Diceros bicornis minor: one gene and its partners. The main gene of each other region encodes a partner of the protein of the gene in region 3 in a complex. Links are inferred from orthologs where the notes say so. Each region holds a gene or a part of one and is shown on either strand. Other genes may lie near its edges.

What was found.
Region 1: ODAD1 (region 3) and CLXN share a complex: the UniProt entries of both Homo sapiens proteins name them as parts of the outer dynein arm-docking complex. The link is inferred for Diceros bicornis minor from reciprocal best matches to the Homo sapiens genes ODAD1 and CLXN.
Region 2: ODAD1 (region 3) and ODAD4 share a complex: the UniProt entries of both Homo sapiens proteins name them as parts of the outer dynein arm-docking complex. The link is inferred for Diceros bicornis minor from reciprocal best matches to the Homo sapiens genes ODAD1 and ODAD4.

Annotation. Positions count from the first base shown.
Region 1 is NC_080760.1:7,586,229-7,594,195, forward strand, and holds the start of CLXN (calaxin), read left to right. Parts: upstream 1-4,937; 5' UTR 4,938-4,988; coding exon 4,989-5,046; intron 5,047-5,054; exon of another isoform or gene 5,055-5,237; coding exon of another isoform or gene 5,238-5,271; intron 5,272-7,967. UniProt on the Homo sapiens protein: Component of the outer dynein arm-docking complex (ODA-DC) that mediates outer dynein arms (ODA) binding onto the doublet microtubule. Seems to regulate the assembly of both ODAs and their axonemal docking complex onto ciliary microtubules.
Region 2 is NC_080757.1:41,159,843-41,167,566, forward strand, and holds the start of ODAD4 (outer dynein arm-docking complex subunit 4), read left to right. Parts: upstream 1-4,657; 5' UTR 4,658-4,728; coding exon 4,729-4,742; intron 4,743-5,057; exon of another isoform or gene 5,058-5,164; intron 5,165-7,724. Other genes in the region: ACLY (ATP-citrate synthase), read right to left, coding at 459-617. UniProt on the Homo sapiens protein: Component of the outer dynein arm-docking complex (ODA-DC) that mediates outer dynein arms (ODA) binding onto the doublet microtubule. Plays an essential role for the assembly of ODA-DC and for the docking of ODA in ciliary axoneme.
Region 3 is NC_080773.1:24,034,240-24,041,906, reverse strand, and holds the start of ODAD1 (outer dynein arm-docking complex subunit 1), read left to right. Parts: upstream 1-4,587; 5' UTR 4,588-4,789; intron 4,790-5,141; 5' UTR 5,142-5,164; coding exon 5,165-5,234; intron 5,235-6,448; coding exon 6,449-6,548; intron 6,549-6,695; coding exon 6,696-6,885; intron 6,886-7,667. UniProt on the Homo sapiens protein: Component of the outer dynein arm-docking complex (ODA-DC) that mediates outer dynein arms (ODA) binding onto the doublet microtubule. Involved in mediating assembly of both ODAs and their axonemal docking complex onto ciliary microtubules.

The DNA of each region.
Region 1 (7,967 bases), on a different chromosome or scaffold from region 3:
TTCCCCATGTCCCCAGTGAACCTCATGGTCTAAGACGGCTGCTGGAACTCCAGCCATTAAATACACAGGGGCTGATCAAAGAAGAGGCTTACAAACCATGCAGACAGAGGCCAGATCCTGGAGAACTGTGGAAACTGTGCTACAGGGCTTGGATATTATCTTATAGGCACTGAGAAGGCATTTCAATATTAAGCAGAAGGAAGACATAGGTGGATGTGTGTTTTAGCTACATCACTCTGGCAGCCCTGTGGGTGGCTTGGAGAAGCACGAGACAGAAGACAGTGGGCTAACGCAGGGGCTGGGTGGGAGCAAAGAGGACAGCTCAAACGGGAGGCACAGCAGTGGAGGCAGTAAGCACAGCCTACACCTGAGAAGGCAAATAAGAAAGGGCACAGTTTAGACAATAATGAAAAGATAATGCAAGGTCAACAGGATTTTGACTTCCTTCTGGCTGTGAATAAGCAAGTATAAGAAAATACGTAGCCTTTTCGGGGGAATATCTACACAAGAAGCAGTGTCTTCAGGGGAGAGGCAGGTTTCAGACAAGAAAGGTGGAGAGAAGGCTCTGTACAAAAATGGATCGTGTAAGGTAAATGTTCACAATTGAGGAGGGGTTTGTTGAGTACAGCTGAAAGGTGTTAGAGAGATCTAGGCTAAGAAATAAAGTCTAATAAGGGGGTAAGTATTTGGAGATAGGCAATTCTGGGAGCTTTCTTTTTCTCTGAGTAAGCAAGAATGATGGAAGTGGGGGATGTGGTTAGGAGAGCCTGGTCTCAAATATTTGGACTGGTATAGGTCATTTTCTGGTCAGCATTGGCTCAGAGGCCCAGGCAGTACCAGGCCTGGTCTGAGAGGACAAGCCTGGTTCTGTTCTGCGTAGGAGGCATGTGACAGCTGCAGAGGGACAGGATCAGAGCCAGAGTGCTCCCTGGCGCTCCAGGCTCCCTTGGAAAGTGGCAGGCACTACTGTCCCTGTGGTCGTTATGCAGACAGCACAGTTTGCCACGACCTAGCTCTGGGTGCCCGTAACCCAGCATTCAGTAGGAGGAGCCTGGCGGGTTCTGTGGGATTTCTTGGTTGGCTATGGAAGGCCTGGAGAAGCAGCTTCTTTATTCAACCTGCTGACATTATTGAAGTTGCAATAATTACTTATCACGTGCCACATCTTAATTTTTAACTTTGTAAATTACATGTAAGAAATTACATGTAAGATATAAGAATCCTATCCTTAGTAAACCTTAGGCATTTGCCTTGGCCACCAGTCACTTGATTATGGTTTAAAAAAATTATCTAGAAATGTATTAACACCAGCAAATATTGAGTGTGTATTTTGGGAAAAGGTATTCTTTCCAACTCAGCCTCTTTTCTAGGCCCTGCTGTGTGTTCACAAGGGCCCTCCCAGATGGGGTGCTATGGGGGAATTCAGGGCTTACCCCTGCTCAGGTGAATTCTCCCACTCCTCTCCCTTAACACAGACAACAGAACATGAACTGTGCTGTCAACCTTCAGAGGTACAGACAGATAGATGATAGATACAGAGATAAAAATAGACATATATAGGGGCTGGCCAGGTGGCACAAGCGATTAAGTACAACGCGCGCTCCACTGCGGCAACCCGGGGTTAGCCAGTTCAGATCCCGGGCGCACACCGACGCACCGCTTGGCAAGCCATGCTGTGGCGGTATCCCATATAAAGTGGATGAAGATGGGCATGGATGTTAGCCCACAGCAAGTCTTCCTCAGCAAAAAGAGGAGGATTGGCAGATGTTAGCTCAGGGCCGATCTTCCTCACACACACACACAAAAATAGACACATATATAGGAAGAAAGAGAGAGACATCACATAATTGACAGTCTAGTAGGGAGGAAAAATTACAGAAAGAAAGTAATCACTCATTGTGACAAGTGCTATAAAGGCAATGGTCCTGGGACAGAGAATGAGGATGCACAGGGAGGGATTTACTCTACATGGGGAAGTCAAAAACTCTCGGAAGAGCTGCCTTTGGGGTGGGGTGAAGAATATGCAGAAGTCCTAGGGCAGACAGCTGGGTGGCTGGAGGTACTGAAAGCAGCTTGTCACCACCGTGTAGCAGCACAGGGGAAGTGGCAAGAGAAAGCCATGGAGATTCAACCACCCACATGGTTGGCTAAAATCACCTCTGCATTTCTCATCTCTATCTCTATAAAACAAAATTGGTAAAAATGAATTTAAATTATGTAAATAACTAACCTTTATATTTGCCTTTTATTAAAATAATTTCATAATAGATTTATAATATACTTGGAAATCAATTATATGATGTCATTTCTTAAACAGCTTCCAAATGCCTGCATCATAAAAGGTCCACATTAAGTAAAACATTTTCATCAACTCAAGGTCCAAACTATTTATCATGGCAAAATTCCAATTAATTGTGATTCAAAGGAAAGGTTGTTTTGCACACAAAGTTAAAGGAAGCATTTATAGCATTAACAGTCCCTTTAATGTACTTTTGTATTTACAAAAGTATCCATCAAAAAATTGCTTGAATTTTGGAAAGTCCTATAATCATTTCACGCATAGTAAAAATTGTATATAGTACAAATTAAATGCAGTTTATTATTCTATTATTGATTGATTTGATATGAGGTAACTGTTCAGGCTTAATTGCCTTACTCTGAAAGAGCTCGGGGGAAAGTAATCCTGTGTCTGCTCCACACAAGCAACTAGAAACTACAAATAGAAATCTCAATTTGCCTTGAAATGTGATTGGCTGATTCTATCAGGCCTGCAGTTTGTTTCTAAAGTCTAAAAATAGTACGTTAAAAAACTCACAATAATGTAATGAACGCCTTAAAGTTTAGCAGTATGTTGACAAAACATGTCCCTAATAAATACCTTGCTTTCCCTGAGAAATCCTTGCAAAAACTTTTGTAACGTCAACTCAGCAGCCCATTGTCTTAGAGAAGTGCATTTCACAGAACAATGCATTTGGAAATGTTTTGCTAAAAGATTACACGGAAAAAAGAACTTAGGGAGGAGACAGATCAGGAGGAGGGTAACTCACAAAGTTTTCTAACCAGGTTAAGGAATTTTTGCCTGGTAGAACAGATTTGATCTTTTAACATCAGCCTTCTGTGGTATTGTCCTTACATCACTTTTTCCACTTTAAGGGAACATAGCTGATGGATCCCAGGCCTGAAGCTTGCGAGGTAAGAACGGATTAGCTCACCTATAGGTGCCGGCAACAAGCTCCTCTGTATGACGTCTGCGCAGACGCCTGGACACGCCCATTAGCGTGCTTCCCACAGTGGACGCCGTTCCCCAAGGCATGCCAGCTCATGTCCAGAACACGGAGGAGGTGGTTCTCGACAGACCTAGCCATGTGAGACACCTGCGGCCCACGGCCTCTCTTATTAACTACCGACGACCACTCTTTCAGCTTCTTGTCTTCTGGAATGAGCACTGCAACAATCTCTATGCATTAAATATTTGCTACAACCCTGGAATATAACAAAAGCCACTAGTGAGTGTAATTCACAGGTGAGTGTAATTAGAATAGATCCAATCTTTCCCATTTGTTCTCCATAATCGCATGAGAAATGTCACAGCTGCTAGTCAAGAGGGCATATAGGAATACTATTTAACCAGAGAACTGTTGCAAACTCATAATCACCATCATTTCATATTGGTTACCTGTTCTCAGAGAATTTGCTTTAGGATGATACAGTCCCTGCCTTCACCAACCACCCTTGACTCTGGTTTCAAACAGCGTCCAATCCTTCACTCGACAAACAAATGAAACAAGGAAAGAAAATCAGAGACCTCAACACTGGAACTATTTCATTTTGGATTGTTACTCATGGTTGGCAGAATTTTCCTGCTTTCAGTCTAACGATGGCAGTATGTATACTATAAAGTAATTTGTATTCAAAGGTATTTCCCCCTCTGAAGTTAAACATGTAGACACGTTGGAGAATACTCTAGGTTTTGTGCTCCTGGCTGAGTTAACCTATTTTATTGCTGTCTTAATTCAAATACGGTGCCCCATCTGTGGTTAAAAAGAGCAGAAAGTCCTCTCACATTAAAGATGTAAGGACTACCCTTTGCAGTCACGGAACTCATCTTTCAAATAAGTAAAAAATCAATTTTACTGGATTATTTTCCAAAAAAGCAAGATTGGGCTGTACCACATAGCCAAGTGGTAGTTGTCAGCCTGTCTTATTTGGAAGGCTGCCTCTTTAACTAACTTAGAAATTGCCAGTGGCTTTTCCAAGATTCCACTGACAGCCTCCACCCTCACCCCCAAGAATGTATGCGGGGGGAGGAAGAAAATAACTAATCCAAGTTCCTCTTCCTCTCACTAACATCACCCAAAACTTGAAGATATCTTGTTCCAGACTCCCTCCTGGCATCACAGCAAAAGTACTGATAACCAAGAGTGGCTCAGCCCTAAGAGCAAGCTCTTCACCTTCATGCACCCGTAAAACAATCGTTTGGATAACACACCTGCTAATTCTTGAAGCTCTTCCAAGTTCCCCCAGATCTCCCTGAAGCTTAAGGCGCCCCTCGTGTAACATCTCTCACACAGCGTGCACAACATACTTTTAGACCTTGATGATTCACAGTGCAGTCCATCCAAGGTGCCGTGAACCCAAAAGACAGAAACCACTGAAAATCAAAACTCCGACGTCAGCCATCAGAACACAGTCTGCAAGGAGCCTGGCCTCGACCTCCAAGTGGGACCGCGCACCCCAGCCCAGGAACCAATAGGCGGCCAGTCCAGCCGTTGCCATGGCCACGCCGAGTGTTAGGGCCGCGTACGCACCCCGCGCGCGCCCGGGAGCCAATCGGCGGCTGGCCGAGGCGTTGCCATGGCCCCTCTGTGTTCTGGCCGCGCGCCGGCGCCCGAGACCCGGCCCGGCTGCCCCAGCCCCAGGCTCGCGAGGGTCCGGGGCGCCGTGCGCCGCTAGTTACCGGCCGCTGCCTGATTCCGTGAGCGCCCGGCATGAATCGCAAAAAGCTGCAGAAGTTGACGGACACCTTAACTAAAAATTGCAAGCATTGTAAGTAAGAATGAAGTGCTGGACGAGCGGAGACTTCTGGGCCAGGTCTCCTGTCCTGCTGGGTGCTAATGTCCGCTCTCAGCCTGCTTCCCGCCTCCAGAGCCTGAGTGCTGCTGGAGCCCCCTCCACACCCATGCCACAAGAGAAATCTGGAAGGAATTCCCGGGGGTTAGCGCCTTGGGGCGGGCACCATGCCTGCCCATGATCCTAAGGACCAGGATCCAGGTACTGCACTCCCATACAGGCGCTTGCTTCTCAAACCCTCTTTGTAACTTACTTTTACCTTAGAGAAAAGTGATTTATACACTCACGAGACACAAGTAGTTTTAGCTTCAGACACAAGTGTAAAATAAGGACTAAAACCCACCAGACTCAAGAAAAGATTCACAACCAAATACGCCTGCTTTCTAGCTCTTTTTAGAGCAAGTAAACTGGCGGAATCCAAGTTCTGGAAACTTAGCAAGAGATCCATAAGGGAAATGGTTATCAATGGCTGAATACCCTTAGGAAAGATGAGTTGAAATGACACAGAAACCTGTATCTCAGAGCAAGGAAATTTGTTTGGAAACCAAAGAGCTCAGCAAAGCTAAACACATGGTAAAGAATCTTCCCAACTCTAGTCTCCCACTTTCTAGTTGCTGGTAGGGTTGCAAGGTAAAGGACACTGCAGGTGACAAGATCAGCACTTATTAAAGGTATCTGCTCTGATCACACATCCTAAAAGGTGGTCCTAGAATTTCATAGTTAACTTTAGAATTGTACTTGGGCAAGGAAGGTATAGTTTAGATGACGAACATATTGTCTCATGAGCAAGCTTTTAAGTTGTGTGCTGATTGCAAAACCACTGGCCACTTGAGGAAATAGGAGAAGCCATAATTTAAAGAATACCCCCATTGTGCAAAGAAGGAGGAACAAACATGTTTTAAGGTAGTTGTAGAGATTATAGGATCTGGTGCCTTCTAATCATCTTTAGTATCTAATGTAGTGAAATGCGGTAAATAAAAGTTATGATGTGTATAAGCATCTTTAAACTTCTTAGAAAAAAGGCATCCTATAATTTAAGGTATTATTATGGTTATTATAATCTGATGAGGGTTTTGTTTTGTTATTTTTCTTAAAATACTTCCACTTCTGGGAAAAGACTAGATCTTCTTAAAACATCTAGTTAACGTTTTGAATAAACAGTACAATAACTGCTATACACAATGCTGAATTTGATTTAGTCCCTGTTCAGTAAGTTTGCAATGTATTGCAAACAGATATTCTGTGAACAGTCAAAAGGTGAGTGCATTAAAAGATAAGTGAAAACATGGCAGGAAAAACAGTCAACTCTTTTGATTTTTGTCCTTACATAAAATTTTTAAAGTGAGCCTTAAAAACCTTGATGATTACAAGTTGAATTCTATAGAAATAGTTACAAGTCATGGACATTATAATAGATTTAAATTTCTTGAAACAGAGGACCTTTCCCCTAGTGTCAGATTTCCTTTTAGCTCTCAGATGATAATCCCACCAGGATGAAATGGATAAATTTTGTAGAATCGGAGAAGAAGAAAATATCTTAAATAATTGTCTAGTTAACCCACGGTTCTACAGATATGGTCCACGGAACACATACACAATCCAAGGAGATGAAAATCCATTCTTGAATTTCCCTTAATTTCATTTAGTATTGTATTCTAGAATTTAGGAAACATTTCAGCAGGAAATGTTTTCTTATGGCTAATCTTTGATCTTTCAGGTGATAAATTAATCTAATATTCTTTAATTTTTATTTCAGCTGAGATGGAAAAATGGCTCATCAACATCTCCCCTGCTAGCATTTCATATACATGAATGGAGTCTACCATTCTTCATGCAGACTTTTTTCCCCAATTACTAACAGCTCTTTTTATTTTTAGAGTTTTTTTGTGTGTGTGTTTAAATATACATAACATAAAATTTACTATTTCAACTGTTTTAAGTGTACAGCTCTGTGGCATTAAGTACAACACTTTGTTGTGCAACTGTTACCACCCTCCATCTCTAGAACTTTTTTATCTTTCTCAACTGAAACTCTGTAGCCAGTAAACTATAACTCCCCTTTTCCCTCTTCCCCCAGCCCCTGGCAACCACCATTCTACTTTCTGTCTCTATGAATTTCACCACTATAGGTACGTCATATAAGTGAAATCATACAATATTTGGCCTTTTTTGTCTGGCTTATTTCACTCAGCATAGTGTCTTCAAGGTTCATCCATGTTGTAGCATGTATCAGAACTTCCTTCCTTTTTAAGGCTGAATAATATTCCACTGTAAGTATATACCACATTTTGTTTATCCATTCATCCATTGATGGACACTGGGGTTGCTTTAACCTTTTGGCTACTGTGAATAATACTACTATGAACAGTGGTGTACAAGTATGTAAGTCCCTGCTTCAATTCTTTGGGTATATACCTGGAAGTGGAATCACTGGATCACATATTGTTTCTGTGTTTAATTTTTTTGAGGAACTGACATACCATTTTCTATAACAACTAACAGCTCTTTTTAAAATTATAACCATTATATCCTTTTCTACTGTTTAATCAGTTTATTTAGTAAATCATTTATTTTCTGGAGTTTTCAACGTTCCTCTTAAATTGTGGTACCCAAAACCAGAAATCACACTCCAGCCCATCCTGATCTGTAGGATGAAGTATGAGTTCTCTGTTCCTATGCTGTCTTCTTTTATATGCACACAGGTTTTGTCCTTGTTTTTAAAAATACACAGCTGTAATTTTGTCTTGTTTTGAAATCATATCTTCCCAATCTTCCACTTATACTTCACATTTAAACTCACTTTTATGTTCTTAATGGTAGGCAATAATTCTTCCACCCACAAACCTTGGATGGGGATTGGAACACAAATAATTAGATCAGTATTTATCAACACCACC
Region 2 (7,724 bases), on a different chromosome or scaffold from region 3:
CACTTCCTCATGGCCCATTCCTGATATGCTCTACTTTGGAGGGAGGAGGGGGCACATACCCACTTTTTACTGAGCATCTACCAAGCGCCAGGCAGTACACTGAATGCTTTCCAGACATTCTTGCTAATCTTTACAGCTCATAGGGTGAGTGTTATGCTCATCTGACAGCTGGGGAATGTAAAACTCAGAGAGGTGAAATGGCTTGCCACAGGTGACATGCTTAATAGACAGAGCATTGGACTCCATTTTGTCCCTTCCATGCTCTGCCTACCATGCCAGCGTGCCTCAAAATGCGGAGCCCAGAGCTGGACACAAAACCCTGCCCAGCCCATGCCCACTGCCCATTGACGCAGGCAGTCTGCCATCACATGCCCCGCTCGGACATCTCCAACAGACCGACCCTTTCTCTCCTCGGACTCTGGGCCTGGAAGAAGGGCTCAGGATGGGGGCGGGCTCACCTGGCTGAGCAGCCAGGGGTGGTCCTGCAGCAGGTGGGCCCAGTCTGTGTCAGGGGTGACCCGGGCATACTTGAAGCGGTTCTGGATGGCCGACGTGGTGCAAATGTACTTGTAAAGGAGCTCTTTGCCCGTCTGCTCTGAAATCGCCTTGGCTGACATGGCTGCAGAGGGACCTGCTCTACCTGTCGGGGTAAGAGGAGCTGGTCAGAAGAGGCAGGGAAATGGAGACCTACACCTAGCTGCCCCCAGACAGTAAAACAGATCTCAGCCCTTCTCAAGAGGGAGAAGAAGAGCTGCCCCAGCAGGAAGGATGGAAGGGAGATCTCAAACAGCACTTTTGACAGCAGAGAAGGAGGATCAAGAAATGATGGGGGAGGGAAGATGGAGAAAAACAAAGGTGGCATTTCTCCTGGGACTCCGGGCCTCAACCCTGTCTCTACTCTCTCTAGGCAAACCAGATCACCCATAGCCACATTCGTCCTGGAGCCAAAGGCAGCTGGATGGGGAGACCAGAAATCCTAGTGATGTGACCCAAACCTGAGTGCCGTCCCACCCGAGGAGGGCACACAGACACTGAAACACACCCTTTGGTTCTATGACTGGAGGGGAGCACAGCTGGAATGGTGCAAAGCCGGCCTTACCCCCACCACAGGTTTCATCTACCCCATCCAGACTCACCCCATTTCACACACTTATAAACCACCAGGCAGAGGGCCAGGCCAGCAAGTTTTCTTAGCCTCAGGCAGGATCGAGCCCCCAGGAGCAAAGATGAAGAGTCATCTCAAAGCTCATTTCTCCCAGGACACTAGACTCTCACCCCTGAGTTCAGAGCAGACACGGGGCGGGGGAACTGTGACCTTCAGTGGGTCAGACCACCCGCCCCACTGAGTCACTTGGCTGCTAATTCAGAGCAAAACACAGGCCTCTCTGGGGACCACTCTGTAGTGGTCACTTTTTTTTTTTTTTTTTTTTTTGTGAGGAGATCAGCCCTGTGCTAACATCCACCAATCCTCCTCTTTTTTTGCTGAGGAAGACGGCCCTGGGCTAACATCTGTGCCCATCTTCCTCCACTTTATATGGGACGCCGCCACAGCATGGCCTGCCAAGCAGTGCGTCGGTGCGCGCCCGGGATCCGAACCAGCGAACCCCGGGCCGCCGCAGCGGAGCGCGCGCACTCAACCGCTTGCGCCACCAGGCCGGCCCCTGTAGTGGTCACTTTCAACTGAGCCAGAGCTGAGGGAGGAGGCAGCAAGCATTCTCAGTCACATGTATACAGAAATTTACCTTATGGGAGCGCTGTGAGGTATGTCGAGATTCAGAACCCTATTTCTTAGATGAGAAATAAAAGCTGGGAGGGGTTAAGATAACTTGCCCAAGAAGCCTAACTAATTAGCAGGGGACCAAAGACTTGAATCCAAACCTTCTTACTCCTAGTCTCCAGAAAACTGCACACCTCAGCCCGAGAGAAAAGACCATTTCTCCAAGAACAAGGCCATGCCCCCCTTCACCTTACAGAAGAGTCTGTGATGACAATTTCTTCATCTTCCCTCCCCACTGCTTTGTCCTGACACACCCTTCTCTGACAGGTAGTGACAGGAGAGCTGGGGAGAGGAATGGGGGAGGGGGAGGAAACCAAGTCATTCATGCCAAGAGCTTGGCCAGATCAGGAAAAGTCACTCTTGTGTCTCCCACAAAGAACTGAAGTTGTTTAATTTGCTGGGGGAGGAAAGTCAAATAAAGGAGGGTGGAGTTAGGGAGCTGGCTAGTTTATACACACAGGAAGGCTGGTCTCCATCCCCAGCTTAGGAAAGGCCAATACTCCAGAGGCCACTCTGCATCTCCCTCTCAGTTGGCCAGACTGGGGCTCAGGTTCTAATCCTGGCTTGGCTGGCTCCCTCAGCCTCCCAGCTAGCCTCCAGCTGGGCACAATGGGCACATTCAGTCTGGTGTCTGGCCCAAAGTGAAGTAGCTGGGAAGGGGCTCAAAGGAGATGTTGCCTTTTCTGGCCTTCCCCTGGGATGACTTCTAGCTCCTTCCCAACATGAGTCTCCAAAGGAGATGCCTCCACTGGCCCCACTGGCCCCAAAGTCCTCCAGCCTCTCACCCACTCCAGCTCCATTTCCCAACCTTCTTGACTCAGACCAGAAAAACTGGTCCTGAAATCAGATGGGTACACCTGCCCCAACCCCTCTCCCAAAGAGAGTGTAGCCCAAGGCAGATCAAGCAGAGAAAGGAGCAGGCAGCTTCTGACCACTCTCAGCAGTTCAGACACATCAGGCACAAGTGATCACAAACTCCAGGAGGAAGGAAGCCCCTCAGCTAAGCCTCTCCAGCAGAGAGAAGTCTGATAGACACTCCCAGAACAAAAAACTCCTAAACCTGGCACCTCCCAAAACAAAGACCCAACTTTGGAAATGACAAGGGTGAGAAAAGGGACCTTCTGCAGCGGAAAAAAATCACAATTTTCTTGAGCCCCAGATGAAATCTCAGACCCAAGAGCTCATCTCCATAAGGTCCTCGGAAGAAGGATGGGAGAGAAGACACAACAGGGAGATGATACAGGACAGAAAAGATTTGCCAGTTTACCAAAACGACATATTTGCCACTAGAGCACTTTGGCTTAGAAGGGGAGGCCCTTATACGACAGAATAAAGGAATCTGGCCTCTGCCTATTCACCAATGCAGGGTAAGGAGGCTCATAAACACAGGGAGGGGACTTGGTGGAGACAAATCATAAGTTTAATTATTCAGTGGGGTTCTGAAGTCTCTCTAGGGCAGTGGCTCTTAACTTATTTGAGGTCTCAGACTCTTTTGAGCATCTGAAGAAAAGCCCAGAAAAATGTACACATACTCAACTGTGCATATCATTTCAAGGTGCTGACCTGTGACTCTGATCTGATGGTCCACAAACCACCAGTTAAGAATATTTGCTCTAGTGAGAAAGGGGCTTAAAGTGTACACCAATCTGGGTTTGGGGAGCTCCCTCTAAAGTCTTTGGCTGCCTCCCTAGGAACTGAATGTACTGTCAAACTGGTGACAGATGGTTTCAGGGCACAGCTAAGACCCCTGGGGTCCACTTTGGGGCCCCAGGAACTGTTACCTAGTAACAGATAAACGTGTAAACCATTTGGGGGACATCATGCCAAGGAACCTGAAAACACACACATACACTCCAAGGGAGGGATCTTATGAGCTGAATGGGGTCTTTTTTACAGACAGGGTAAGTGACCCAGGATTGAGTTCATCCACAGCAGCCACCGAGGGCAGAAGGAGCCCACAGGGAAGGCTGAATAAAAGGAGCCTGTTCCCCAGGAACGTACCCCTGGGACACAGCCAGTGGACAGGAATCACTGGGGATGTTACTTAGGGTCTGTCTCTGGGAAGGACAAAAAGCACTCATTTTAAGGTTAGTATCCGTAGGACTGAGGTTTTTTGAGAGGACAGGCAATCCATGGAGTAAGGAGAAAGGCAGAATTCTGTGAGCGTCCCCCACTGCAGCAAGCATAGTGTCAGATTGGGGGCGGAGACAGCAACTGCCCAGTGTCTGAGGGGTCTTCCCATCACCGGCCCCAAAGCTGTTTAAGAAGCTAAGAGGTGAAAATTACCCTTCTGGGCAGCTGGGGTCTACCAGCTGTCCCTCACCCAACATTTCAGAAGGAACTGAGCTGGCTGAAACAGAGAGCAAAGTTAAAGGGTGACGAGAGGAAGGAGCTGACCGACTGCAGTGTGTTATGTACTGCCACCAACCATCCTCTCCAAAATCCTCTTCCCAGGCAAACTGCCAGGGACCACCTAATGGCAGAACTCCTTGGTACCGCAAGGCATCGGCCAAGTGGAGAGGGCAGCAGGCGCTGGGACTGGCCCTCTGTCAGGCCCGACAGGAGGGCGGCGGCAGCATCCTCAGGCTCCTTGAGGACCTTGCTTAGCCAGGCTCAGCGGCAGCGGCAGGGGTAGGGAGGGAGACGGGCAGCCCGGCCATCTGTCGCCTAAAGGCTGGCCCCGACGGCACCTCCAAAGCGAGGAAGGTCCTTCTTGCGCCGCCGTTCCATGGCCAGGTCTTCGCGGCGAGGCCAGGCCTCAGGTACCCTGGGACAGCCCGGCCCGCGTGGCCCGCACGACTAGCTCCCTCCACTTCCGCGGGGCTCAGTCGACTCCCCCACAGAGCTAAGAGGAAGGGCTTGAACCTGGCTGGAGAGGCGAGTTTGGCCACTGCTCTACTTCCCGGCCCCGGTATCCGGTGGGGGACCCAGATGGGGCAAGAAATGGCCCGATGACTGGTCCCAGGTAGGGGTGAGGGGCGCCAGGATGGGGCAAATACAATTCAGCGGAGAGAAAAGCAAGACACGGCGGCAAGCCCTGTGCAAACTCCCAGGAACTGGGATGGGAGGGGGGGAGGGGGGAGTCGACACGCGGCCACCGGCCGAGGTCCCGGGCGAAGGCTAACCTAAAGCTAAGACCCCCCCCCCAAAACTTCCAAGCCGGTGCAGGGAGGGGGCGTGAGCAACAAGCCCGCGTCCGGGGAGATGGTTCCGGGTTGGGGGGGAGGCAGGAAGCTCCTGGGTGGGGGCCCTCCCGCGAAAGCAGCCACCCGCCACTTACCACTCTGAGAAAGTCTGTACGCGGCGCTCCCTCCACAGTACCTGACTCACCGCCCACTACCGGAGCGCTCCAGCCTCTCGAAGCCTCCCGGGATCCCGCTTTTGTCTGGGCCCCGGGGGTCTACTCCCCGCCCCCATCGGCACACGGCGCGAGCCGCCCCGCGATTGGTCACACGCGTTCCCTAGCCTGAGCGCCAGCGCTCCTCCCAATTCGCTGCTCGGTACAGCCCCGCCCCCGGGGGGCGGAACCCAGGGGCTGCTGGGATTTGTAGTCCAACTAGCGCGTCCGTCCTAGACCGCGGGCGGGCACCGCCTCTCCCGAGCCAGCAAGGCCGGGGCCGGGTTCGGGGCGGGGCCTCCGGTGGGGAGATGGGCTGGGCTACGCCGGGAGGAGAACGTTCGAGGCTGGGGGCCGTGGCCTGATTTGTTAGAGGCTGGATGGCCCGCCACTCTGATGGGGGTTTTGGGGCGGTGGGGGGTTGGGCGAACAGTGTGTAGCGCTGCTTTGGGGACCTGGAGTCTCCTTCCTCTCTCCCTCTGGGAGAAACTAACGTCCGCATCCTGGCTGCCTGAAATCGGCCACCAGTTGCTTAGACCCGCTTTTTAAGCAGCCGTGGCAGACTGCCTTCCTATTTGCACCTGAACCGTCTCCATTGAGCCGGTGGGGCGAGGCCGAGAAATCAGACCAGACCTCCCAATGTGGGATAGGGAAGGGGAAGGGGTGAGCAGGTGGGGCTAGGAGAGTGCCAGGCACACCTCACACGCCTTCTGGCCCACTCACCTGCTCACCTCAGCACGGAGCTGAGAATTCAATGGGAGATTCTAGCACAGGTCTGGGGCCATCTCTGCCTGTCTTCTGCTCCCGGCGCCCTCCCCACAATCCCACGCTTAGACACTGGAATGAATGAACTGCTGCCTGCCCCCTCTCCGTTACTTGTGAGACATACTATATTTTCCAAACCAAAAACTGGGACACCCGGTCTAATAGGTGCTGGTAAACTTGAGGGGCAGAATATTTGAAATCAGACAGTCATGGAAACCAGGACATACATTTACTGCTTTGACATTCTGGAGCTTCCCCACCTCCACCCCAGTCCTGTAGGTCTGTCTAACTCCAGGAAGGAGAATTATGGTCTGATAGTTCAGGTGAAGAGGTCAGCCCACGGTGCAGAGAATCAGCATGCCTGTGCCCCTGCCAAGCACCAGGGTCATACTCACACTGCAACAATGTTTCAACATTCTCCTGGACAAAAATTTCCCCAAGCCCTCCTCCCCCTAGTCCTGTTGTAGCCAGGAGTGGGGCAGCTAAACTTGCTGCCCATGCCTGAACCAAGTGATCCCTGATGATGTCACTTTCTGGTCCCTTCCCTCACAAGCATCCTTTTGAAATAGCAGCTCCTCACCTCCTCTCTCCTCTCCTAGAGAGTCTTCTACCCCTACACGGATTGAGCTCCATCCCTACCAAGAATATCCCCAAACAGCACAAATCTGGGAGAAGGGTCACCTCTCTGTAGGTAAAGAAAACATGTCCTAGAAGGTACTCCATTTCTGGCCTTGGGGGACAGCAGTTCAGGCTCTTCCTGGGCTAGCAGGAAGACTGCAGTCAGGAGGAATCACTTATGCAGCAATTTCCGGTTAGAAAGACACACTCGTCCAGAAACAGGCATCCGGGAAAATATAAACTATAACAAACTCTTTGACGTCAATTTGGCAATATCAATAAAAATTTAAAATGCACCTGCCCTTTGCCCCATCAATTCCATTTCTAACAATTTATCCTTCAGATATACTTGCATATGTACATGAGGATAAGGATCTTTGTCTGTTTTCTTCGACTGGTGTGTCTCCAGCACTTTGAATCTGGCCTGGTACATAGTAAATGCTCAATAAATATTTGCTGAGTGATTAAGTCCCCCATCTAGGTATTGCTGGGCCCAAGTTTGACTAGTTCTGGGCAGGGGCAACAAGAAAGAAACTGTCCAGGGAGTGAGGGAGGAGAGGCACAGGCCAGAGGGTCCGTGAGCCAGCTAACCATTGAGATGTTTCAGTTTTCTCAGTGGTCCCATTCCAGGCCTGTACCCCAACCCCCAACTCTCCCAGGAAAGACTCTCTCATTACCCCACCGTGACCCTACAGAGGCTCCTCTGCCCTAAAGTAACCAGTCTGGGCCCCATCTTCTCATCTTTCTGTTCTCTGACTTAAAAGCTCTAAACTCTTTTGTTTTTCCTACTTGAACCACCTTCCTCCACTTCTAGACTGGGCTGGAGGACAGGTCCATGTCACCAGACACAGAAGGATATGGGTACCATCTCTGCATCCAGCTTTGGGCGTGCTACCTCAGTTTCAGAAGGCTTAGACTGCCTAATGACTCCCTCCTAGATTATAATCCATTTTAGCTAATATTCATTGAGTGCCTACTATGTGAAAGGCCTGGGTGCTAATGCATACTGCTCACAGCAACCCCTTGAGCAGTTGTGCAGATGAACAACTGACCCTCTGCCACCAGGTCTCCTGTCCTGTCCACTGCAACCTGCTACAGGAGAGAAGTAGGGGAAGAAAATCATATCCAAGGGGTCTACCCCATTTGACTGTGAGCTCCTCAAGATCCAAGAGTGTGCCTTGTTCGTTTTGGCATCCCCAGTACCTAGCATGGGGCCAGGCACATATT
Region 3 (7,667 bases):
TCAAGTTGACACCCCTCCAGATTCATCAGAAGCTGGGGGCTGCCCTCAGAGACAGGCATCCTTGACTCACCCCACTCCTCTCCTGGGGCAGGGAGGAAGGGGGACCGGGTGAGTCATCCGGTGACTCATCCCACCCCCTGCCTTCAAGCACCAGGGAAACCCCAGCCCCTGGCTGTGCCCACGAGGTCCCCACCCAACCCTGCTGCCAGACTGGTGCCCTCTGGACATCTTGTAAGGAAAATGGACAAGATCTGTGTTGAGAGGAGATAGCCTGAGGAGAAAGAGCCAACCTCACATGACCTTTCAGTGTCCAGAAAGGGGGGGGCCTGGAGGTCCCCCAGACTTGGGGTGTTCTCATGCAAAGCCCTGATGTCAGACTTCAGGGAGAGTGGAGAGCCGGGGGAAAAAGTGCGGGAAGTTTTCGGGTGGAGCTGTGAACCCCAAAACCTTGCCGGGCTCCACCCCTTCCTGAATCCCCACCCCAAGTGCTACGAGATCACTTCTTAAATTACAGAGATTTCCATGGGGTGGAGAGTCGGGGAGTCTCTCCCAGCCTGGGGGTGACCGTCCCAAACTGTGTACTTCCAAGTAAATAAAGAAATCCCAGTCTGAATAACGGATTGGAAACTTACCGAGCAGCAGAAAAGTCAGAGTTGGAGTCTCGTCCCTCGCTCTGGCCTCCGTGCCCCGCCCTTCTCCTCCCTCCTTCCACCCTCTCGAGGCCCCCGCCTCCCTCCCCGCCTTCCTCCCTCCCTCCCTCCCTCGCTTGCTCGCTCTCCCCTCTGGCTCTCTCCCTCCTTCTCCCCTCCAATCCGGGAACCCTTTCTCTCTCTTTCTCTCTCTCTCTCCTTCTGCCTCTTGTCTCTCCCTCCTGTCCTCACTGCCTATACCTCCTCCTCTCTCTCTTGTCACACTCCTGGTTTCTCCTTCTCTGCTCCTCTCAATATATACCGACCCTTTTATACCCACCCTGACCCCACCCAGCTGAGGTCTGCAGCCAGAGGGAGGGCCCAGGCACTTGGTTCCTCCTTCTCTGGGCCCCCACCCGTTGCCTCCAGACAAGCATCTTCTCATCTCCCAGGGTTGAGAAGTCCTTGGAGCACGCCGGGTGGACCAGGGGCCCTGGGGTGGGGCAAGCGTCAGAGGGTGGGAGGGCCCGAATCTCAGGCCTCCGTTCTGGGTCGCATCCTGGGATCGGATGTCTGCTTTCCTTGATGGAGCTTAGGACTGGATACCCACAGGGATGGGAGTCTGGGGAGGAGGTCAGATTCCTGCCGTGTGCAGTGGGCTGGGGGCTGGTGGAGCTGGTGGAGCTGGCACCACAGTGGGGGTCAGAGGATGGGAATGGGGAAGAGTGAAACTCTGGAAGGCGGCAGGAAGTGGAGGTTGAGAGTCCCAGCGCTACCGTTTTCTGCCTGGGGGTCACCAATTATTTCACCTCTCTGAGCCCTGGTTTCCTAATCTGTGAGGTGGGTACAATAATACTAATAATACTGACAATATACTAATACAGATAATAATTCTGATACTTATTCTAAATGAATAAGGTCATACCAGTACACTAACACACCTAACACGTTCATCCCTTTCTTCATCAAATATTTATTGAACATCTATTTTGAACCAGGAGTTAATAATGAAGAAAACAAATGCGAGCCCTTCTGTTATTATGGAGTCTACCTTCCAGTTTAAGGGAGACAGACAATAAAGAGGAAACATATCACTGAAGCCGATAAATATCACAGAGTGCTAAGTGCTTTGAAGGAAATAAAATAGAGTGATGGAGGTAATGAGGCGAGGCGACTTTAAACAGGGTCATCAGGCGAGGCCTCTCTGAGGAGGTGACATCTGAGCCGAGACCTGAAGGAGACCTGAAGACAGGAGTCATTTGAATGCTGGGAGGAAGAGGAAGTGTAAAGGGCTTTGAGAACAAGCTCAGGTTGTTTGGGGAGCAGACAGAAGGGCCAATGTGGCTAGAACATAGGGAGCTAGAGGGAGGGGTAGGAAGGGAAATCAAAGAGAGCCCTTGAAGCCTAGAGGAGCCTGGATTTTATTCTAAGTGCGGTGGGAAGCCACTGGAGGTTTTAAACAGAAGTGCAATACTGGGGACTTAATGTTAAGTATGATGATGATGATTATTATGTATTCTTGGGATATTGAATTAGGGTGGGGGGTGACTACTATGTACGTGGGTCTCTTGGAAGAGTTGGCTGCTGGTGAAAAGTGAGGTGTCCAGTTGTCTGGGGTCCTGAAGTGGAATTGAGAGCTGGTGGACTGACATCCTGGGTTCCTGCAAAGGAAGAGAGCTGGATGATGGGATGTCTGGGTATCTGATGGGGCCGGAGCTAGGGGGAGGGAGAGTGGTTGGTCATCTGGGCTCCCTGAGGGGGTGAGGGATGGGCACTTCAGTGACTGGGTGGGTACTCGAGTGACCTGGAAGCTGGGTAACAGTATAGCACAGACTTTAGAGACACAGTGGCTGGATTCAAATCCAAGCTGCTTTACTCATTAGCTGTGATTTTGGGCAAGTTACTAATAACCTCTCTAGGCCTCAGTTTCTTTATTTGTAAAATAGGACTAAAAATAGTAAATACCTCATAGGGTGGTTCTAAGAGTAGTCCCCTGGCACAGCACTGTTGTATGTGCTAGTTACAGGAGGCATTGGGGCCCTGAGTGGATTCAGTACTGGGGGACCCCAGATCGAGGACTCTAGGACTTGGGGAAGGGGCAAATTCTTGGGTCCTTTGGGCTCCAAGGCTAAAAGGTTGGGAGTACAAAATGAGGGTCTCTGGGTTGGGAAATAAGTAGTCTCAAATTTAAGCCTTTGAGGACAGAGAGGCTCTGAGCTCAGAACCCCAAGGAAATCAGAAAGTCTGGGTCACTGGGAAAAATTAGGGCCTGGAGCGTCCTCTGCTCTTCCTGGGGTGCAGGCAAAGGGAACCGGACCTAGTCTTGGGAGGAACCTGGGAACCAGAAAAGAGGGAGACGGAAATTTGAGCGAGGGAGGTGGACAGGAGGCTAGGACTTTGAATCAAGTTCCCCGAGTGGAATGAACGCCAGACTTGCGTCTCCTGGGGATGTTCGGGAGTCCCCCATGCTAGGGCCCTGTGGAGGGGAAGAATCAGGGGACCCGGGAGCGGTGGCAGGATCTCCCCCTCCCGGGCCTCCAAGGCTACGAGCTGAGCTGAGCGCCCGCGGGCCGCTTCCTCCCACAGGAAACCGCAGGCGTCAGGCACACCCAGGCTGCAGGGAGCGGCGCCCACTGCCGGCCCGCTGCAGGGAGGCCCACGTGGGGAGCAGTCCCCCGCCCGGGGGGCGGGCCCTGCGGAGCGAGGGGGTGTGGCCAGACAGGGCGTGGCCGGAAGGCAGAGGCGGAGCGAAGCGCCCTAGGCCCCGCCCACTTCCGCCTCAGTGCGCGGACTCCGCAGACAGCAAAGGGTTTTTGGCGGCTTCCCTGGAGGCCGTTGACTGCGCATGCGTAGTGAGCCGTTGTGAGGACCTGAGGTGGTGGTGAGCGCTCCTCCCCCTCACAACTCCCAGCATCCACACCGCCTCCCTGCTAATGAATCCTCAGCGTGGTCTTAATCAGCTTAAGACACGCATCTCTCAGGGCGCGTCCGACAGACTTCGGCCTAGCTCCAGAGCCTTGCAGACGCTTCCCTCCCAGCCCTGCCTCCACAGGCTCTCTCAGCTCCTGCCTCCTCCTCCCGGAAACACACAGCCCGCCCCTCACAGGCCCGTGCTCCCCACACAGACCATCCCCACCTCCCACAGGCCCTCCGACCCTGAGTGCCTCCTGATGAGCCCCGTGCCCCGCACGTCCCGGGAGCCAGCGGCCCTCCTGTGCCCTCCCACCGGACCCCTCGCGTGTTCCTCCAACCACGCCCCCGTAGCCCCACAGCCCCCACCCTCCTCTTGTACCTGTGCCCCTCCCCTCCCAAGGCCCCGCTGTCTCGCCCCCTACAGGGACCCGTGCCCCTCCCCTCCCAGGGCTCCCAGCAGGCCGCCCCCACATGGACCCGTGCCCCTCCCCTCGCAGGCCCCCGACCCCGCCCCCTACAGGGACCCCTGCCCCGCCCCTCCTAGGGCCCCCCAAGCCCCGCCCCCTACAGGTCCCCGTGCCCCGCCCCTCGCAGGGCCCCCCAGGCCCCGCTCCTGACAGGGACCCGTGCCCCGCCCCTCTCAGGGCCCCCCAAGCCCCGCCTCCTACAGGTTCCCATGCCACGCCCCTCGCAGGGCCCCCCCAGGCCCCGCCCCCTACAGGTTCCCATGCCACGCCCCTCGCAGGGCCCCCCAGGCCCCGCTCCTGACAGGGACCCGTGCCCCGCCCCTCGCAGGGCCCCCCAAGCCCCGCCTCCTACAGGTTCCCATGCCACGCCCCTCGCAGGGCCCCCCCCAGGCCCCGCCCCCTACAGGGACCCGTGCCCCTCACCTCGCAAGCCCTTCCAGCAACGTCCCTCGCAGGCCCCCCACTGTCCGGCCCTTCATTGCCCTCCTAGCCTCCACTTTCCGACCCCCATAGCCCCACCCCTCGCAGACCACGCCCCTTACAGCCCTCCTAGCCCCGCCCCTTGGAGGGCTCCCCCACGCGTCTGTTCAAAGCGCCCGGGACCCAGCACTTGCGGCCTCCTCGGCCCCTCCTCCCCAGCCTCCCCTCCCGCGCCCTCTCCGCGCTGCCTTGGTCCCTCCCCGGCCGCGGTCCTCAGGCCTCATTGGCCCCTTATCTCCGCAGTAACCAGACCACAACAGTGAGCTTGAAGCGCCGAGGACAGGTCGGGCACTCCAGCAGGTAGGGCCCGGGCCTCGCCCCCCACAGCCGGCCGGGGCTTTCCCCTTCCTTTGTGACCCCTTCCCCAAGCAGCCCCGCCGCAGAGATACCGAGAGTCTAGGGGACCTGTCCCCCGCGCCAGAGTCAGAGCCGCGACGCAAGACAGCATGTGAGAGGCGGGAGGTCGGGAGGGGTGGGGGAGAGGCCGGAGAGGGGACCCCTGCAGCCCACTGGAGGAAATGAGACTCAAGGAAAGGCCAGAGGTGTTCGGGGTCACCCTCTTCCAAATCCTACCCCCTCGCCGTTCGTCGCCCACTCTCCTCCGGGCCCTCTCCCGCCCGCTGTCTGAAGGGCTCCCGTGTCGTCCCTACAGGAACCCCACCTCCTTTGGCCAAGATGCCTTTGGGACTCTCTCCAGGGAGCACCCGCTCCGAGGATGGAAGCGAGGCCTTCCTGGAGGGAATAGGTAATTCATACCTTCTTGCTTTATTTCACTCATTCTTTTCCTGCGTTTTCCCAAGTTCCAGGTCCTGAGCTGCCAGGCACTGGGGACTGGGAGGGCTTCCAGGAGAGCCCTCTAGTACCCGAATGGAGGTGGAGCAGGACAGATGGGGTGGCCAAGCCTGGGGAGCGGGCGGGCCGAGAAGACTTCCTGCAGGAGGAGAAGTTTGAGTGGGGCCCAGAACTCCTCCCAGGAATGACCAAGGGGAGAAGGAAGGAAAGAGTGTTTCAGCAGAGGGTACAGCATGAGGCTAGAGCGGGGTTTCTCATCTTCCGCACCATTGACACTTGGGGTCAGATAATTCTGTGTCGTGGGGGCTGTCCTGTGCATTGTAGGATGCTCAGCAGCGTCCCTGGCCTCTGTCCACTACATGCCAGTAGCATCCCCCTCCCCCCACATTGTGACAACCAGAAATGTCCCCAGGCATAGCCAAATGTCCATGGGGGGGCAGAATCCCTCCTGGTTGAGAACCACTGGACCATGGCTGGTGGGGAGCTGGTGGACGAGGCTGGAGAGGTGGGTAGGGTCAGGTCGTGTGGGGCCTTGAACACCAGGCTGAGGAGCTGGGACTGTGTCCTGAGGGCGCTGGAGCACTGGGGGAGGCCTGTGAGCAGAGGAGAGGCAGGGTCCGCTCTGGGGGTAGAAAGACCCTCTGGAGCTGTGAGGGGAGGCCGGGAGGTTGAGGAGGAGGCTGAGGTGATGGTCCAGGCAGAGAGAATAAAGCCTGAGCCTAGGCGATAGGCTGAGAGTGAGGAGGCGGGAGGATGGGGCTGAGGACTGCTGGGCGGTGGCGCTGAAAGGGAAGGGAGGGAGCAAGAATACTGGCTTGGCATCTGTTCTCAGCTTTCAAGTTCCACGTCCTGTGCGGCGGGTCCCTGAGGACCGTGACGCCTTCCAGGAGCGCCCTCTAGTGGGGAAACAGATGTGTGCCCAAACCTGGAGCGGGAGTGGGTTAGGGGAAAAATCCCTAGGTTAACTTGGGGTCTGGGGAGTAAGAAGGGATAAGGAAGCTTGAGGGATACAGGAACTGAGATGCAGACCTAGAGGGGCACTGGGGACTGAGTCTGCAGTTCAGCTGCAGTTTGCGTGACCCTAAGGGAGCCAGAATTCCTAGGTCCCAGGGAGGAAGGGGCTGGGGCCTGGATTCCTATTGAGTCCCTTGCCTGGTCCTGCTGCAGTGGATTGGGAGCTGAGCAGACTGCAGCGACAATGCAAAGTGATGGAGGGGGAAAGGCGGGCCTATGGCAAGGAGGTCCACCAGCGCATCAACAAGCAACTGTGAGCTGAGTGCGAGGGGGCTGGTAAAGGGGCTGGGGGCCGGACTCCTGGGTCTGAGGAGGGGAGGGCAGGCCCAGTGTGTCCAGCCGTTAGTGATGCTGAGCTCTGCCCCTTGTGGGCCTCTCCTCCACCTCCCTGCCGGGACAGCGAGGAGATCCAGCGCCTGCAGGAGGTCCGGGACCAACTGCAGGTGCAAATCAGCGTCGCCCAGAGCCAGGCCAAGCGGCTGCGAGACAGCAAGAGGCTGGAGAACATGGGCCACCTGCTGAAGTGCCAGGCCCAGGTGCAGGCCGAGGTCACGGAGCTGCAAGAGCAGACCAGAGCCCTGGATAGACAGGTGGGTTCTGAGCCCTGACTCTGTGGATGCTATTTAGCGGCAAGTGTGTAACCTCTTTGAGCCTTAGCTTCCTCATCTGAAAGATGGGGTTGTTGAAAGCATCCACCTGGGAGAGCTGTGTTCGGTCTCCAGCAGGAATATGGGTGTTGAGGGGCTGGTGTGGTTAAGGGGAAATGTTCACCTTCTGGAGTCAGTGAAACCTGCACTAGGATCCTGGTCCTGCCACATCAGAGCTGTGTGACCACGGGCAAGTCTTCACCTCCCTGGGCCCCAGTTTCTTCATCTGCAAAAAGAGGATGTTGGTAATGCAGCAAAGTCTAGACAGATTTTTAATCCCACCTGCCCCAAGGTCTTGCTATGTGACCTTGGAAACAATGTGGCTTTTCGAGGCTGGAGTTCTTTCAAGTTTTGATGACCATGACTCCTTGCAATGCAGTTCATACGCACACAGAAGCACATGGATGTAAACACACACACATATATCTGAAACAAGTTTCATCAAATAATACTTACTTTTTCTATGTGGAATTCATTCTATTTTCTATTCTAGTCTTCATTTAAAAAAAAAGTTGCTTGCCTAGACCAGATGATTTCTTGTACACTATTGGATCACAAACAGGAGTGTAAAAGTTACTTATCTTGGTGGTCTGTATTAGTTTGCCATTGCTGCTGTAACAAAGTACCACAGACTTGATGGCTTCAAATAACACAAATTAATTATCTTTTAATGCTGGAGGACAGAAGTCCACAATGGATTTCACTGGGCTAAAATCAGGGTGTTG